2 linked regions of the Rhinolophus ferrumequinum genome follow. The protein of the gene in region 2 binds, or shares a complex with, the protein of the main gene of each other region. Links are inferred from orthologs where the notes say so. Each region holds a gene or a part of one and is shown on either strand. Other genes may lie near its edges.

Evidence for each region. Proteins that work in one complex are often made in the same cells at the same time.
Region 1: DLG4 (region 2) and SHISA6 share a complex: the UniProt entries of both Homo sapiens proteins name them as parts of the postsynaptic hippocampal AMPA-type glutamate receptor (AMPAR) complex. The link is inferred for Rhinolophus ferrumequinum from reciprocal best matches to the Homo sapiens genes DLG4 and SHISA6.

Annotation. Positions count from the first base shown.
Region 1 is NC_046304.1:8,306,028-8,313,578, forward strand, and holds the start of SHISA6 (protein shisa-6), read right to left. Parts: upstream 3,024-7,551; 5' UTR 2,921-3,023; coding exon 2,283-2,920; intron 1-2,282. UniProt on the Homo sapiens protein: Involved in maintenance of high-frequency synaptic transmission at hippocampal CA3-CA1 synapses.
Region 2 is NC_046304.1:11,614,629-11,621,593, reverse strand, and holds the start of DLG4 (disks large homolog 4), read right to left. Parts: upstream 3,078-6,965; 5' UTR 2,880-3,077; coding exon 2,850-2,879; intron 1-2,849. Other genes in the region: ACADVL (very long-chain specific acyl-CoA dehydrogenase, mitochondrial), read left to right, coding at 5,696-5,757, 5,833-5,908, 6,184-6,249, 6,334-6,406, 6,491-6,555, 6,661-6,795. UniProt on the Homo sapiens protein: Postsynaptic scaffolding protein that plays a critical role in synaptogenesis and synaptic plasticity by providing a platform for the postsynaptic clustering of crucial synaptic proteins.

The DNA.
Region 1 (7,551 bases), about 3.3 Mb from region 2:
CATTGTCCCCTACCTAACAAGCACCAGTACGACGGTTTCCAAAGCTCTGACCAGGCGAGACTGCAGCTGCTGGAAGAGGTGCTGTGAACTGAATAAAATCAGGAGGTGAGTTTGAGGGAGAAACATTCCATATTTACATAATGGTCTGAGGGCTGAAATTCATCTCCCTTCCCATGGTTACCGCTCTTCCCTGACCCCAGAAAGAAACTGCCCCCAGTGGCATCACCATTGAGCCATACACCCACACATACACCGTTCATCCTAGTTTTGGGGGAGGTGGTCAGTGGAGAGGGGAGAAAACACCACGAGGGACAGTGATATCTCCAGGGTCACGGGCCAATAGAACGCAGGCCAACGCCAGCATCTAAATACCATCAGCATCCTTCCATGTAATGATGAATAAACTCAGTAGGAGGTGGCAAAGTCAGGGCAGGGGGGCAGCTGTCTCTAAGAGAGCAGAGAACAAAGGCTCAGAGAAAAAAGAAACCCAAAGAAAGGTTTGTGGGAATCAACCAGAAAGAGGCCACAGCCAGAGCGGAAGGTGTGAGGAGAAGCCAGGACCACAGGAGAAGGGAAAAGGAGACAACCCTCAGGGCCTGGAAACAGAGACAGAGGGATGATAAGGACCAGGTCCATATGCTCAGGAAGGTGCTTGCCCACAGGCAACACCTTCTCTGTCTTCCAAGATGAGCCAAAAGAGAGAATTCTTTGTCAGATAAGACCCAGGGAGTGTCTTGTCCTTATTTTGCTGTCCATCCCACCTGCCTTCTGCATTTGAGACCAGGCACTGACCCCGGATCATTTGTCACAATTCCTCCATCAGTTCCCAGGATGAGTCCAGGCACAGACCCACTACCTGAGAAACAAGGTGGGAGTTGAATGGCAGGCAGTGGCACGTTAGGGTGATGAGTGAGGGTTATACACGGGACTCCTGGAAACACCCTAATTCCAACACCAGAGTTTCTCAGGACTGAACTAGCCACACTTTCAGGATTTTGACTCAATAAAACCTGCCAGGGAGTATCATCTTTTCTCAACATTCACAGTATCAAAGGGGGAAAAAAATCATGCCTAGAAATTTCTATCTGCCTCTCTCTCTCTTCATCAAGGTACAGGTGATGAATGACCACAGCAGCGAGGGAAGAAGGTTTTCAGGCCAAAAGGATAACAAGCAGAGTGCAGAGATGAGCTAAAGGTGTACAGTTCAGGGTGAGGGGCTCCTGGGCAAACTCAGAAGCAGGACTGGTCTGGGGGCGGGGTGGTCCTGGTTACTTGGGCAAATGCCAGAAACGGAGGCATTTCCTAAGGCAGGATTTGTTCCCTAAAAGGACTCTGTTGAACCACATCCAGCCGTTCACCATCACAAGGGGACTGGAAGCAGAGCTAAGTTTATATCCCCTGGGTGCTTCATTCCTGGAGTTGTAAAAAGAGGCTGGTTTCCTGTTCTCTGGGCTTTGACTTCCCAAAGGGCTTACTGGCAGCTAGAGTAGTCGGGTTGGAGGCAGTCAGGGTGAAATCAGGGACTGCCATATTTTGAGCTCTTGGTAGAAGTTTTGGTAGGAGGCAGCCCCCACCGCCTCCCTAATGTAAGCAGTGAAAGATGCCCAGCAGGTTTCACACAGCAAGAAGTGTTAACTCGGAGAGTCCTGCCTACAGGGTTTAAGAGAACAAGTCCTCCAGGCTCAGCAGGAAAGACAAGCAACCCAGTTGCTTTACAATAGGAGACACCACGTGCCCTTGGTCAATGTGGGACAGATAAATCTTTATTCCTTCCTCACCCAGGAGGCCTCCTTTACATATCTCCTCCATCTCTAACACCATCCAGTTCACACACTAAGTCACTTGGTACTCTTTCCTGCAGGGTTCTAACATTGGTCAGTTTCCTATATTGAAGAAGCTCTGGTTTGACTCAAAACCAAATGTAACAAGTCTACACCAAAGTGCCTCCATGCCATGAAAACTAAACCCTGGATCCCCATCCAGGATTACGGAATTGGTAAAATTCTTACACTCGTACTTCATGGACTCCACCAATCCTTACTTTGCTTTGTAAATGCCCCTAGTACCTCGAACCTGTGTCCGGGTTCTGAAGAAACGGAGACGAGGGTACACGAGGCGCTGATTTATTGCATGTCAAAGCAGCAAGGGTGAAATTGACTTTAGAGACTCCGCAGAAACATGGTGATGCCACGAATGACGAGGACAAGGGAAGCACATTAAGAGGGATGGGGCTGCGGGGGACACTGGGGGGTGGGGAGTGGGCACCCGGCAAAGGCTCTCACCTGTGGATGTTCATCTCCCGCGGAGGGCGGTGGGCCTTGTCATAGGAGACCTTGGCGAAGACACCGGCCACGATGACGAAGGCGATCACCCCGCAGGTGATGTAGACGGTGAAGTTGGTCTTGTCCTTTTCCGGGTCGTACTTGTTTTCGGGCCCCGGCGACACCACCTTGGTGCTGGGCGTCTGTACCCACCCCGGGCTCTGGTAGTTGTTGCACTGGCGCTGGTCCAGCTTCTCGTGGCGCTTCTTGCAGCAGAAGCGGTAGTAGCAGGTGCCGCAGCAGTACAGGTAGCCGCTCTCGCTGTTGTTACACTCGAACTCCTTATCGTACTGGCCGCTCACGTCGTAGTAGCCCCAGCACGTCTCGTAAGTGACGGCCGCGCTGGCCGCCGCCACGGCCGCCGCGGGCTGTCCCCGCCGGCTCCCCGCCTCCGGGACGCCGGACGCTCGGGCGGTGCCGTTCAGCTCACGGCCGCCCCGGGCCAGTGCGCCCCCGGGCCGCCGGCCCCCGACGGCAGCGGCGCCGGCGCTCAGGGTCCGGTTGGCTGCACGGCCGCGGGCGCCTTGGGCTCCGGGCAGCAGGTCCAGGGACTCCAGCGAGAGCATCAGCAGCAGCAGCAGGAGGCTCCGCAGCGCCATGGCGGGGCCGGGCGGGAGGGCGCGAGGAAGCTTCCGCGGCAGGCCGCTGCCCCGGCCGGCGGGCTCCGAGGGCGACAGCGCGGGCCGGGTTAGCGGTGCAGGGCGGTCAGCGGCGCCGGGGCGATGGCGCCATCGAGGCGCGGACGATGGCAGCGGCGACGGCGGCGCGCGGTGCGCACAGACCGGCCGGGCGCGGGCTGCTCTGCTCTCACGCTGCGCGCGGGCTCCGCGCTCCCCCTGCGGGCTCGGCGCGCCTCCAGGGCAGCCCCATCCCCCGCAGGCAGCGGGAGCGGCCCCGCGCACGGATCGGCTCAGGCAGGACCCGGAGCGCGGCTCCCGGCGGCGGCGGCGACGTGGTCCTGTCCCGGCGGGTCCTGCGGGACAAGACGGGGAGCCGGTCACGGGGTGGGTCGATTGGCGCTCCCGGAGGAGGGAGGCAAGAGGCAGGCAGGGAGGGAGCGCGCAGCCCTCGAGGAGCTAGGCTCCGGGCCGGGAGGGGCGCGAACCCCGCTCCCAAGACGGGGCCCGGCGGCCCTGCGCGCCGGCCACCGAGGGCGCACCGGCCGCCCCCGCCGGGCACCGCTCGGCTGCCCAAGCCCCCGGCCGCCGGCCCGGCAGCGCGCTCCCGCCGCAGGCTGGCTCCCTGGGACGGAGCCGGCTGCGGCTGGGGTCGGGCAGCTGGCCTGGGGAGCGCGGTCGCTGGACCTCACTCACTCACCATGCCCGGCTGCGACTGCAGAGGCGGCGGCGGCCAGGCGGGAGCTCAGCGGCCGAAGCGAGCGAGCCGGGAGCCGCGGGCTCGCCGCCTGCACTGGTGCCGGAGCGTGTGCGAGAGGAGCAAGGGAGACACACGCACTCACACTCCCGCACACAAGGGAGCGCCGCGAGGGGAGGGGAGGGCAGCCGCTCACCGCCACCCACGTTTACACGCTCCGGAGCCCGGGGAGAAGGAGGGCTCTTCTCTGCTTCTCCCACCTCGCGGCACTTGAAGCTCCGCGTCACCAAAGCCCAGGACACCCGTTAATCAACATAGCGAACCAGGCCGGCAAAGCGGGGCCGGGAGCTTGGGAGGGAGTGCCCCTTCTGGAGCCGGCCCGCAGGAGACCAAACCTCCCCTGCCTTTGCTCCGTCCAGCCCTGGAGGCGGGTCCTGGGCTGTGCGCTGCCAGAGCTGGAGTTGGGGTTTCTGCAAGCCTTTGCTTCTCCCTAGTGGCGACGCTCGCTGCGGAGAGAAGAGGTCAAACCCATTGCTACAGGTTCCTAAACTGAGACCAGGGGTCAAGCGGCTTATGGGAGGTTATTGGGCTGCCGGTGAGGAGGCCCTACTCTCTTCCCCTTGAGCACTCTGCTCCCGCCCTGCCTCCAACAGGTGCACAGGCACCAGACAGCCGCAGCTGTTGAATGGCTCTTATTCCCTCTTTCCACGACTTTTTCCAGAGCACTGAGGCACAGTTAGATAAGCTCTCTGAGACTCAGCTTTGAAATCCCTCTGCTGTAGCTGAAGGGGAGAAGCGGAGTGGATAGGGCTGTTTTCCTGTAAAGTTGCTGGTCTGGTCTGTGAGAGGCTCAGGTCTAACTGTAACTCTCAAAGCCATGATGTTACCCCAAGAGGGAGTCACAATCGTCTCTTTGGTGTATGTGGGGGCAATGAGAAAAAGCAACAGCCACTGCCCAAATCCTGCCTTCATGTCGTGGCCGTGTGGGCAAGTGCCCAGAGAGCTTAGGCTGAAGGCAGAGAGCAGGTTGTGAGACTGCCCATGGGGGTTGGGGAGTAGAGACTGTCCCCAAGGCTGTCCATTCAGTCCCACTCGTGCATGACTCAAATCAAGGATTCCCCCCTTAGGGAAAGACAGAGAACCTCTTGTTGGAACTGTAGAATGGAGAAATTGAATTTGGAACCCAGATTCCAAGGCACCGGAGGGAGACACTGGTCCTAGGATGGTAGATGCACAAACTCCCCTGGCAACTTCCCACTTGCTGTGATCTCTCCATTCCCTCCGTCTTCGTCTGTACTTACTCCCATTCCCTCAACTTCATCTCAGCTGCCACCCTCTTCTTAACAATTCTGTTTTAGAACCATTTATTTGGTGCCTACCCTCTACCAGGCATTGTGCTAAGTGCTGAGATAACAGGATGAAAAAGCCGGTCCCTTTCCTCAAGGAGGGGGAGCTTGGGGAGACAGATAAACAAATGATCACCATATTGTGGTTATTATGTCCCATGATAAAGGTGGCACAAGTGCTCTGAGAGCACATGACCGGCACCAACCTAACCCTGGAGTCAAAAGGTGGGAGTCCACGGTAGCTTTCTGGATAGTTATGAGCAGAATCTTAAAAAAAAAAAAAAAAAAAAAAAAGATTGAGTTAATACAGCAAACAAGAGGGGAATGACACTCCAGCAGATGGAACATCATCAGCAAAATCAGGAAGACATGAAATAGTGAGGCTGTGTGAGCAGGGGATATAGCAGATTAGCATAAACTCTGAGGGAGTCTTCCAAGTAAAGCTGGCAAAAGGACATTATATCTCCTGCCAAAGAACTTGAATTTATTCTACAGTTGATGAGAAACTATTAGTGGGCTTTACGCAAGGGGAAGGCACTGTCAGATTTACACGTTCGTTGGATCTCTAAGTCAACTGGAATAAGGAACACTGCATGGGAGAAGAGCAATAGGGAAGCTGCTCTGACAATCCAGGTGAAAGTCGATGAAGGGATGCAGTAGCTTCCTGGGAGTTAGTTGGTGCCCACAGTGGAGATGACAAGCATAGTCAAAAAAGCAGGTCCAGGACAGCAGTGGTGATGGATATGTTGAAATGCCTTTAAGAGCTCTAACTGAAACCCCAGCACACGAGTTTCAAGCTCAGGAGAGCAGGTAAGAAAAGCATAGGCATTGGGGAATCATAATATAGGCATATACTGGGGGTGCCAAAAGAATGTATATGAGTGAGTACTTTGGTCAGCGTTGCTCAGGCAGTAGTTTGCCGTAATTAGAAGTGTCTGGATGCTGATGGTCACCACTTTGAGCACCTCTTGTAATTGCAGAAGTCAAACGTGACTTGTATTCATCTATTGGTTATCAGTATGTGAGTTGAGCATTACAATTTTAATAGTTTTTTTCCTTTCTTAAAATGTGTATACATTTCTTTGGCACCCTCTGTATATTTAGTAATCACAACATTTTCTTTACCCTCATACTATGTGCAGTTTTTAAGTCAGTCCCTTCCTTTCCTCTACCCGAAGCTTTCACCTCCTCTTTATTGGCCCAGAATTGCCTATTTCATATCTAGGAGCTTTCTCACAACGGGTAGAAATGTGTCTTCCTCCTATGGGATTCTACCAAGATTTGATCAATGGCACTAAGTAAGGGAAAATACTCTGGTTCCTCAGACAGCCACCACCCACAATTTGTTCTGAACTCCTGTGCTCATAACTGGTAGCATCAATTGACTCACAGAAAATAAGTATCGCCGAGTTGGATAGGATCTTAGGGATTATTTATTCCAACCCTTACTGTAGTACACTATATTTCTTTTTTTTTCAATTACAGTTGTCATTTAATATTATATTAGTTTCAGGTGTATAGCATAGTGGTTAGACATTTATGTAACTTATGAGGTGATCCCCCCAATAAGTCTAGTACCCACCTGACACTGTACACAGTTATTACAATATCATTGACTGTATTCCCTATGTTGTACCGTACATCCCCGTGACTATCTTGTAACTGCCAATTTGTACTTCTTAATGCCTTTACTGACACTTCTAACCCTCTATGTTTGCCCCTTATAGTAGTCCAGATTGGCTGCCTACCAACATCCATTTCCCTACTTTCTCCTTCTAGTTTTGATACCTATTGTTGACAGTATGGAAGTGTCCTTCCTTTGTGGATTTGATTCATTAAAAAGTGCCAAAGAAAAATCATTTTTTTCAACACCTACACCAACTTCAGACAGCCCTTAGCTCAAGGAAAGTGACCAAATCCCTGGCTCTGGAAGATTGATCCCAGTTGGGCTGGCTCGGCCATAATAATCTCATTCCCCTTGCCAATGATTTGTTAAGAATGGACATGTGATCCAGTTCTGGCCAATACAAAGTGAGGGAACTGTTGAGAGATTCTGGGGAGATTTTCCTTGCTGTTAAAACTAGTGGAAATTCCTCTACTTTTCTGAGTGTTGTTTCTCTGGATGTTATGATCTTAAGGCAGGGGGTTGGGGGAGTGGCCAAAACCAGTTATTAGTTGAAGCTGATATTCAATTTAATAGTTATTAGTGCTGCTCACTAAATATCTCTGCCATCCAAACCTATAGTTGAATTGCAATTCTGGGTCCATTTGTGAGTAGAAGTAGAAAGTGACTTAGTAGTACTGGTCGATAAGTCATGAGCAGAAAGGATGTGCATTATTTCTGAAGCGGAGCATCTAATTTCCACTTCAAGAAACTCTGAAGTTCTTGTTTTCTTCAGGCATAGTGACCAGCAATGCTCTATGTGGAAGTGGCTTTATCAGCCTGTAAGTGACTACAGTGAGAAGAGGCCCCACACAATAAAAATAGTGCCCCACCATGGACATGTAGCATGAGTGAAAATGTACTTTTTCTTCTTAAAGCCACTGGAATTGGGGTCCGTTATTGCAGC
Region 2 (6,965 bases):
CAACCCCCGGATTCTCCCTTCCAAAGACCCCCGCGCCTCGCAGTGACTTAGGCAACAAGCCCCTCAAACCCTGTCTTCTTTCGACACAAGGGACCACGTCACGCCCCTGCCAGGCCAGACCTGCCCTCACTTTCAGGTTACCCAGCCCTAAGGCCCCGCCCCGTTCCAAGGGCTGTTGCCCGCCTCCCTTGAGAGTAAGCCAGACCCCGCCCACCCGCCTCCAGGAGACCACGCCTCCGTCCACTTCCCGCCCATTTGCTCTTCCCCCCCACCCACCCCGGCCTCGCCCACACTGTCCCTTCGCCACGCCCCTGTCGGCCAATGAATGAGGCTGTTGGCCAAACTGCCCCGCCCCCGTCATTTTAGCTTTGCCCAATAAGGACCACCCGGAGGGTTTAACCGCTTCGCCTCCTGGGCTCTGGCCAAATACCCCGGGTCTTTCCCCACTTCGCCCCCTCCCCCACTAGTTCTGCTCCGCCCTTCGCCACCCTCGCCCGGCCCTCAAGTCCACCACGCAACCTCAGTCGTCGCCGGTTACCATGGCAACGGCGGCAGCAGCGCGGGGAGAAGAGGGAGGGATGGGGGCGGAGTGGGAGAAAGAGATGCTCAGAGATCGAGAGACACCGGCAGAGAGAGACACACAGCGTAAGAATAAGTGTTAGCTGTAAAGGCAGAGTTAGCACAAAGCACAGGGCCTGGCACAAGGTAGGCTTTCAATAAGTATTCCTTAAATTACTGCGGCAGGAGTCTAAATATAGGCAATGAAAGATGGAGGACTCTCAGATGGAGCTGGGAAGCTCAACGACCGCAAAGCCTAAGCACCCCCTATTTTGGGGGGTCAAGAGCCATGTGTCCCCTCCTGGCTCTTCCAGGGCTACCCTCCACTGCCCTGGATAAAGCTGAACCACAACTCCCAACAGCCCCACGGGCAGCAATCCCCTAACACTGAGGGATTTTGTGCCTCAAGGCCTTATGGGAGTTGGAGTCCCCGCCATCCCAAGACTGACAAGTTTTCCGGCCAAGGAATGTGGCAACCCTGGATCTCCATGCCTCTGTAGGATCCCAAATGTATGATCCTCTCTGCGCAAGGCTCCTTACTTAATGGATGCTCAACGTTGGGCTCTATCGAAGAAGTAAGAGTCTGGAAGAGATATGGATAAGCCCCCTTTCCCAGAATGTCAGTGCAGGCAAGCCCCTCACCCTCGCTCACATATGTGTTCACGTGTTGGAAGCAGAGCCCACACATTCCAACTGGCTTTCTGTGTACACCTGCACACGGGACCACAGCCAGGGAGCCTAAGGCTAAGGGGAAGGCTAAGGGCTGGAGGCAGGAGGAGCAGAGAACCAGAGGACATTAAAGGAGAGCAGGCCAGAGAAACTGAAGCCCCCAAAATCTACTGACACTACAAGGGTTGGGAAAAAGAAGCAGCGTAGGAGAAAGCTCACAGAAAAGGAGACCAGCAAGTAGCCCTGGAGATAGGGTGGGGGCTCCAGACCTAAAGGTCCTCAGCCCCCAACCTCTTCCATCCATGTTCACACGCACACGACGCATGTGTACACACATGTGTGAGTTTGTGGCAGGGAACATGTGTGTCCTCAACTCCCTCCTCTGAGAAGCTGCAGTTCCCACTAAATATAACCCCCTCCCCAGCCAGTGACTCACCCAGACCCCGCCTCCCCGGCCCCCACTTCCTGTCCCACCCCCCAACCCCCAGCTGCCTGCCACCCGCCCAAGCCACCCTGCACACACCAAGCATCCAGATTTCCAGTCCGAGAGTCTCACAGCCAAGACCTAGGTATTCTGCATCCACCAGGAGCTTGCTTGTGCTCCCCATCCAAGCTCTTCTTCCCTTTCCAGGCTCCAACCACAGGGACACCCTAGTACAGATCCTCACTGCTGCCAGCCCAGCCGTCCTATTTCTTTTCACTCCAGTCACCTTAAATCCAGGTGTCCTCCCCGACTATGATCCCAAGTGTCAGGGGTAACAGGAACATTCCCCTCCATCTGCTCTTCTCCCTCTTTCTCAACCAAGGGTAGATAGAGTGTGGGAGGAGATGGGGGTATTGGGCACCTACTTAGGCCACCCCCAAATTTTGCACCACCCACCTGGTTCCCCTCTTCAAATACCCTCTCTTCCAAAACCTCAGGAGCTGGCAACCTCAGCTGCTGCAACCCTCTGCCTCCCATGGGAGTGCCCCAGATCCTAACCTCACCTGGTCCATTCCCTCAGGTGAATGTCAGGCCCCAGCTCTCCGACAACTCCCAGCTCTCCCCATTCCATGTGACTGCACCCTAAATTAACAGTTTCCTCAAATTGAGAGCACCCCCAAATGTATCTACCAGGAGATGCTGGTTCTATAGAAAGAAAGCAAGCCCCTTCCCACAGTCTGATACCCCCAGACCAGTCAGGCACTCACAACCAATAACTTCCTACCCCCATGCCATACCAGAACACCCCTGAAATTGGACAAGGCACCTGGAAGCCAGCTTGTTCACCAGGAGGAAAGACGACCCCCCCACATAGTCAACCTTCTAACATACACAAGCAGGACTCCCATGTGAGCCAGGCTTCTCCTCAAATAAGTCTCCCTCAAACATTGTTGGTGAACCCCCAAAACCACCAGACCCCCAAACCACAGAACACCCCAAATTTTCCACTTCTACCAAAGAGATCACTCCAGGGGGCACCTGTGGCCAAACCCAGCGTTTTCTCAAATGGAAACCCCAAAACTAAATTAGGACCCCAAATACATCTTCTGATGCTCCCCAGCCCCAGGTTAGACCTGTCTAACCCCTCCCCACAAACTCATACCCTCCCCCCAGTTTAGAGTCCCCCCATCAGGCTTACCTTGGTTGTCACTATACAGAGACAGTCCATGTTGGGGGGCCTGGCCGCGGTGGCGGGTTAGGGGCTCTGACTTCATCGGAGTTTTGTTCCTCCCCTCCGTGGGTTCTCACCCCTCCCCCCTCCGCACCCCACTTTTGCAGGGGGAGCCAGGATGGGGGGAGGGGTGAGAGGGGAAAGAGGGTGTTGGAGAAGGGAAGGGTAGGGGAGCGTGGGAGGGAGGGGAAGGGGGCCCTAAAAGGGGGTCCCCTATGGAGGGGAGGGGGCTTGGGGAGCACACCCCGGTTCTCAGGAGGGGCGGGGGCACCGGGGGCTGGCAGCCCCGGGGCTCGGGGGCTGGGGCATGAGCTGAGGTGGGGGAGGGAAACTGGATTTCGGGGAGCCCCGGGGTGGGGGGGGTGTCTTGCCTACTGGCCAGAGGCTAGGGGCCTTTGCAGGGGAGGGGGGGGGGCTTGGAGGCGGCAGCGGCCGAGGGAGCGGTGAAGCTGAGGAGGGAAGGGGAGAGAGGAGGAGAGAGGAAGCAGGGGGAGGGAGGGAGGGAGCGAGGAGCCAGAATGGGGGGGTGCCTTGGCAGAGTTAACTCCTTCAGTGCTGGCAGGAACCCGGATAATGGGAAAGGATATGGAAGCAGAAGCGGAGAGGCCCTGAGGCAAACATGGAGACCTGGCCAACCACCAGCAAGGACAGCAGACATGACGAGGGTGGATTTCATTTATTAGAGGAGAAAGCACCCATAGTTGGGCTGGGAGCACCCATGTTTGTTTAAATACTGGACAGGCCATGGCAGGGCTGAGGGAGGGGCTGGCAGGAGGGAATCCCAGGCTTAGTTCTCCCTCAGGATTCACAGAAGGAAACCCGCAAAGTAATTATATCCTGTACTCTTTAGTGCCAGAAATGGGGGCAGGCAAAGGAAAGGAGGAAGCCAGAGGGAGAAGGGGCTAAAGGACAGGAGAGTGCATTCTTTGTGCCCCTAACTCAGGATTTTGTCCCCAGGATCCCAAAGTCTCAGTTCAATATCAGGAGTACTTTGCTTACCCCTTCAACCCTGCCTCCTCCCTCAGGAAGTCAGGCCCCCACCCTCACCCCCTTACCTGACTCTCTGAGATGGAAGCCTCATAATAGTCCAGGATGTCTGTCACAGGAACAGCACTGAGTTACCCTCCCCCACCCCTGCCTCCCTGGCCACCCCTGCCATCACTTCGCTTCCTTCTTTCTGGTAAGGGAGGAGCTCCTCCAGCCAAGGCTAGTGGATAGTCCCTCAGGGAGGGACACTGTTAGCCAGACCCCTGCATGAAACTCCTGCTTGGACCAAATAATCTCCAGGCTCCCAACCAGCCCCCAAATTCAGTAATTGCCCTCACAAGCTTAGGCCAGACCATTCCACCATTGCCCCTCAGAAAATTGGGACTACTCACCCAGCAAAGCCTGGAAGAGGTCACTGTGCAGCACTGTGAGGAGAGGGGGTGCCCATCGCAATAGTGGGGGAGCCAGGAGCCAGAGGGCTGACCTGGGAGCTGGTGAAATGCAAGTGAGGGTGGGCGAATTAGAACAAGGAAGTGAGGACCAATGCCCTCACTCACCTCATCTTTCCCAGCCTTTGCCCTTTCACCCCAGACTCTATGGAAAGGTCAGGGAGAAGGATCCTGAGTCTCAGCCCCACACTCCACCCCCAGGCCTCTGCTTCACAAGGACTTCTATTTTTCACCTCTTGGTCTCTCTGACATCTCTCTCTTCTCTCACTTTAATCTCCCTAATCCCCCAGGATTAGAGCTGAGCTGCCTTCTCCCCACCCAATTCTAGCTCTTAGGTCAAATAAGCGTTCTCAGAACAAACCCAGTGATGTCCCATTCTTCCCTAGGTCCCCAGGCACCTCCACCACCACCTTGTTCCACATACCCTGGGCCCCTCTCCCCAAAGCCAGGCACAATTTAGCTACACTTTCCTAAGGGACTGAGAACGAGGGTCACCCCCAAGGAGGCCCCAATAGCTCAAAAATAAAGGAAACTGAGCTCAGCTCTCTCTCCTCCAGTGCCTGTCCCCAGTGAGAATGGCAGAAAGATGGGCATAAATTACCTGGGACATGTTGCCCAGGAGTAGAGAAGTGTGGAAACATGAGAATTCCTATAGTTCTTCCCAGGCCTGGGAAGACTCCATCTACCCAGAGGTCTAGCCTGAGCACATGGTCTCAGGAAGGAAGGGGTTGCAGAGAGAGAGACAGATGTTGAGGAAGGTCTCAGTGGCCCTACATGGGAGGCAGTGAACTCCAGGAGGGAAGAGGAGGTCCTTGCTACTGTGAAAATTTAGGTGTTTCCAGAGTTAGTGATACTTCCTAGGTCTCAGGAGAATATGCTTAGGACAGTCACACCCCAGTTCGAGTCCCCCACCCCGCCATTCCTCTCCCTTTTGTGGAGATGGACTTGGAGAGATCCCAGAGTCGTCTTTCTATGCCACTGCTTCTATTTATACTTCTCTCTTCCCACCTCTCCTTTCTAACTCTTCTTGGGAAGTTCTCCTTTCAGTCTACCCTACATCCCTCTGGCTGCAAACTTCTTCAGTCCCAGCGTATCCCATCACGCCTTCTGAAGACTACTCTCTAGCTCGGACAGACGGGAGGAAGGAGTTTTGGGAAGACAAGGGACGTTTGGAGATCACCCTAGGTCAACCAGAATGCAGGACTCAGGAGCACTCGGAACTACAGCTCCCAGCATGCCCTGGCGGCCGGAAAGCTCCGCCCGCCTCCCGGGGCATTGTGGGGGATGAGTCAGAGGTGGGGGGGACTCAGACCTTGGCTGACGGGAGTAGAGCGTTAGGTCAGAGCTCAAAGCAGCGACAGCCGGAGCGGTTCAGAGATGCAGGCGGCGAGGACGGCTCCGAGAGTGGGGCGACAGCTGCTGAGGTTGGGGTGCGGGAGGTGTGTATACGCCGGGAGGGATGGGGGCAGCGGGCCTGGGGACCCGGCCAGGACTGAACCCCCAACTCCCCACAGCTCGCGGCCCTGTTCTCTCCTGGGGCAGCCCCAGCCATGCCCTGCCCGACGACCTTATGCCAATGCGGCCACTCAGGTAGGTGACGGCGGCTTTGGGACGGTGGAAGAGGGATGCTCGGGGTGGGCGTCCGACGCGTCTCCCACCTCCCTGACGTGGATAAGGGTCTCCCTCTTAATGCCAGTCATCTGCCGACTGGCTTGGCACAAAAAGTAGGGGAAAGGGCAGGCCAGGGTGCCTGGGGACGAAACTAGGGGAAAGGTCATCGGATCCGCCCTTCCCCGGCACCTAGCTCTCCCGGGCACTTACTTGGGTAGCCCTTTCCCGGCCGCGCTAACTGTCGCTTTCCCCAGGCGGTTCTGGACAAGTCAGATTCTCTCTCTTCTGAGGCTTCGACCAAGGAGAAACGGGCCAAGGCGGTATGTGACCCAAAGCCTGGAGGAGCTAAGCGAGGTGTGGACCCACCTCAGCCAGCCCCCTGAAACCCCCTTCTCCTGGCGCAGGAATCTAAGTCCTTTGCTGTGGGGATGTTCAAGGGCCAGCTCACCACGGATCAGGTGTTCCCATACCCGTCTGGTAAGAGTTAGTCAGAGATAGGTGGGGGCAGGTGGGTTCCCCTGACCTGCCTGGCATGACCTGCCCATACCTGCTGCCCTGCAGTGCTCAACGAGGAGCAGATGCAGTTTCTCAAAGAACTGGTGGGGCCTGTGTCCCGTTTTTTCGAGGTGAGGAATTACTGGGGCTGGGAAAGAGGGCATGGTCCTCTATGGGTTGGAAGAGATTAAGAAGTTCAAAAGGAGCCTGGATGTGGGATCTTGTGACTTCCCCAGGAGGTGAACGATCCTGCCAAGAATGACGTGCTGGAGCAGGTGGAGGAGCCCACCATGCAGGGCCTCAAGGAGCTGGGGGCCTTTGGTCTGCAAGTGCCCAGTGAACTGGGTGGCGTGGGCCTCTGCAACACCCAGGTGAGGGAGCCAGCCCCTCAGTCACTTCCCAGTATCCCAGATTCAGCTCCTCCCTCAACCCTGGGGCTAAGGTCTCTGCCAAGCATCTGGCGGTCTATGGGATGCTGACTCTCCCAATGTGTATACCCTCCTGCTCCACACACACCAAACTACATGCAGGCCCACTAGGG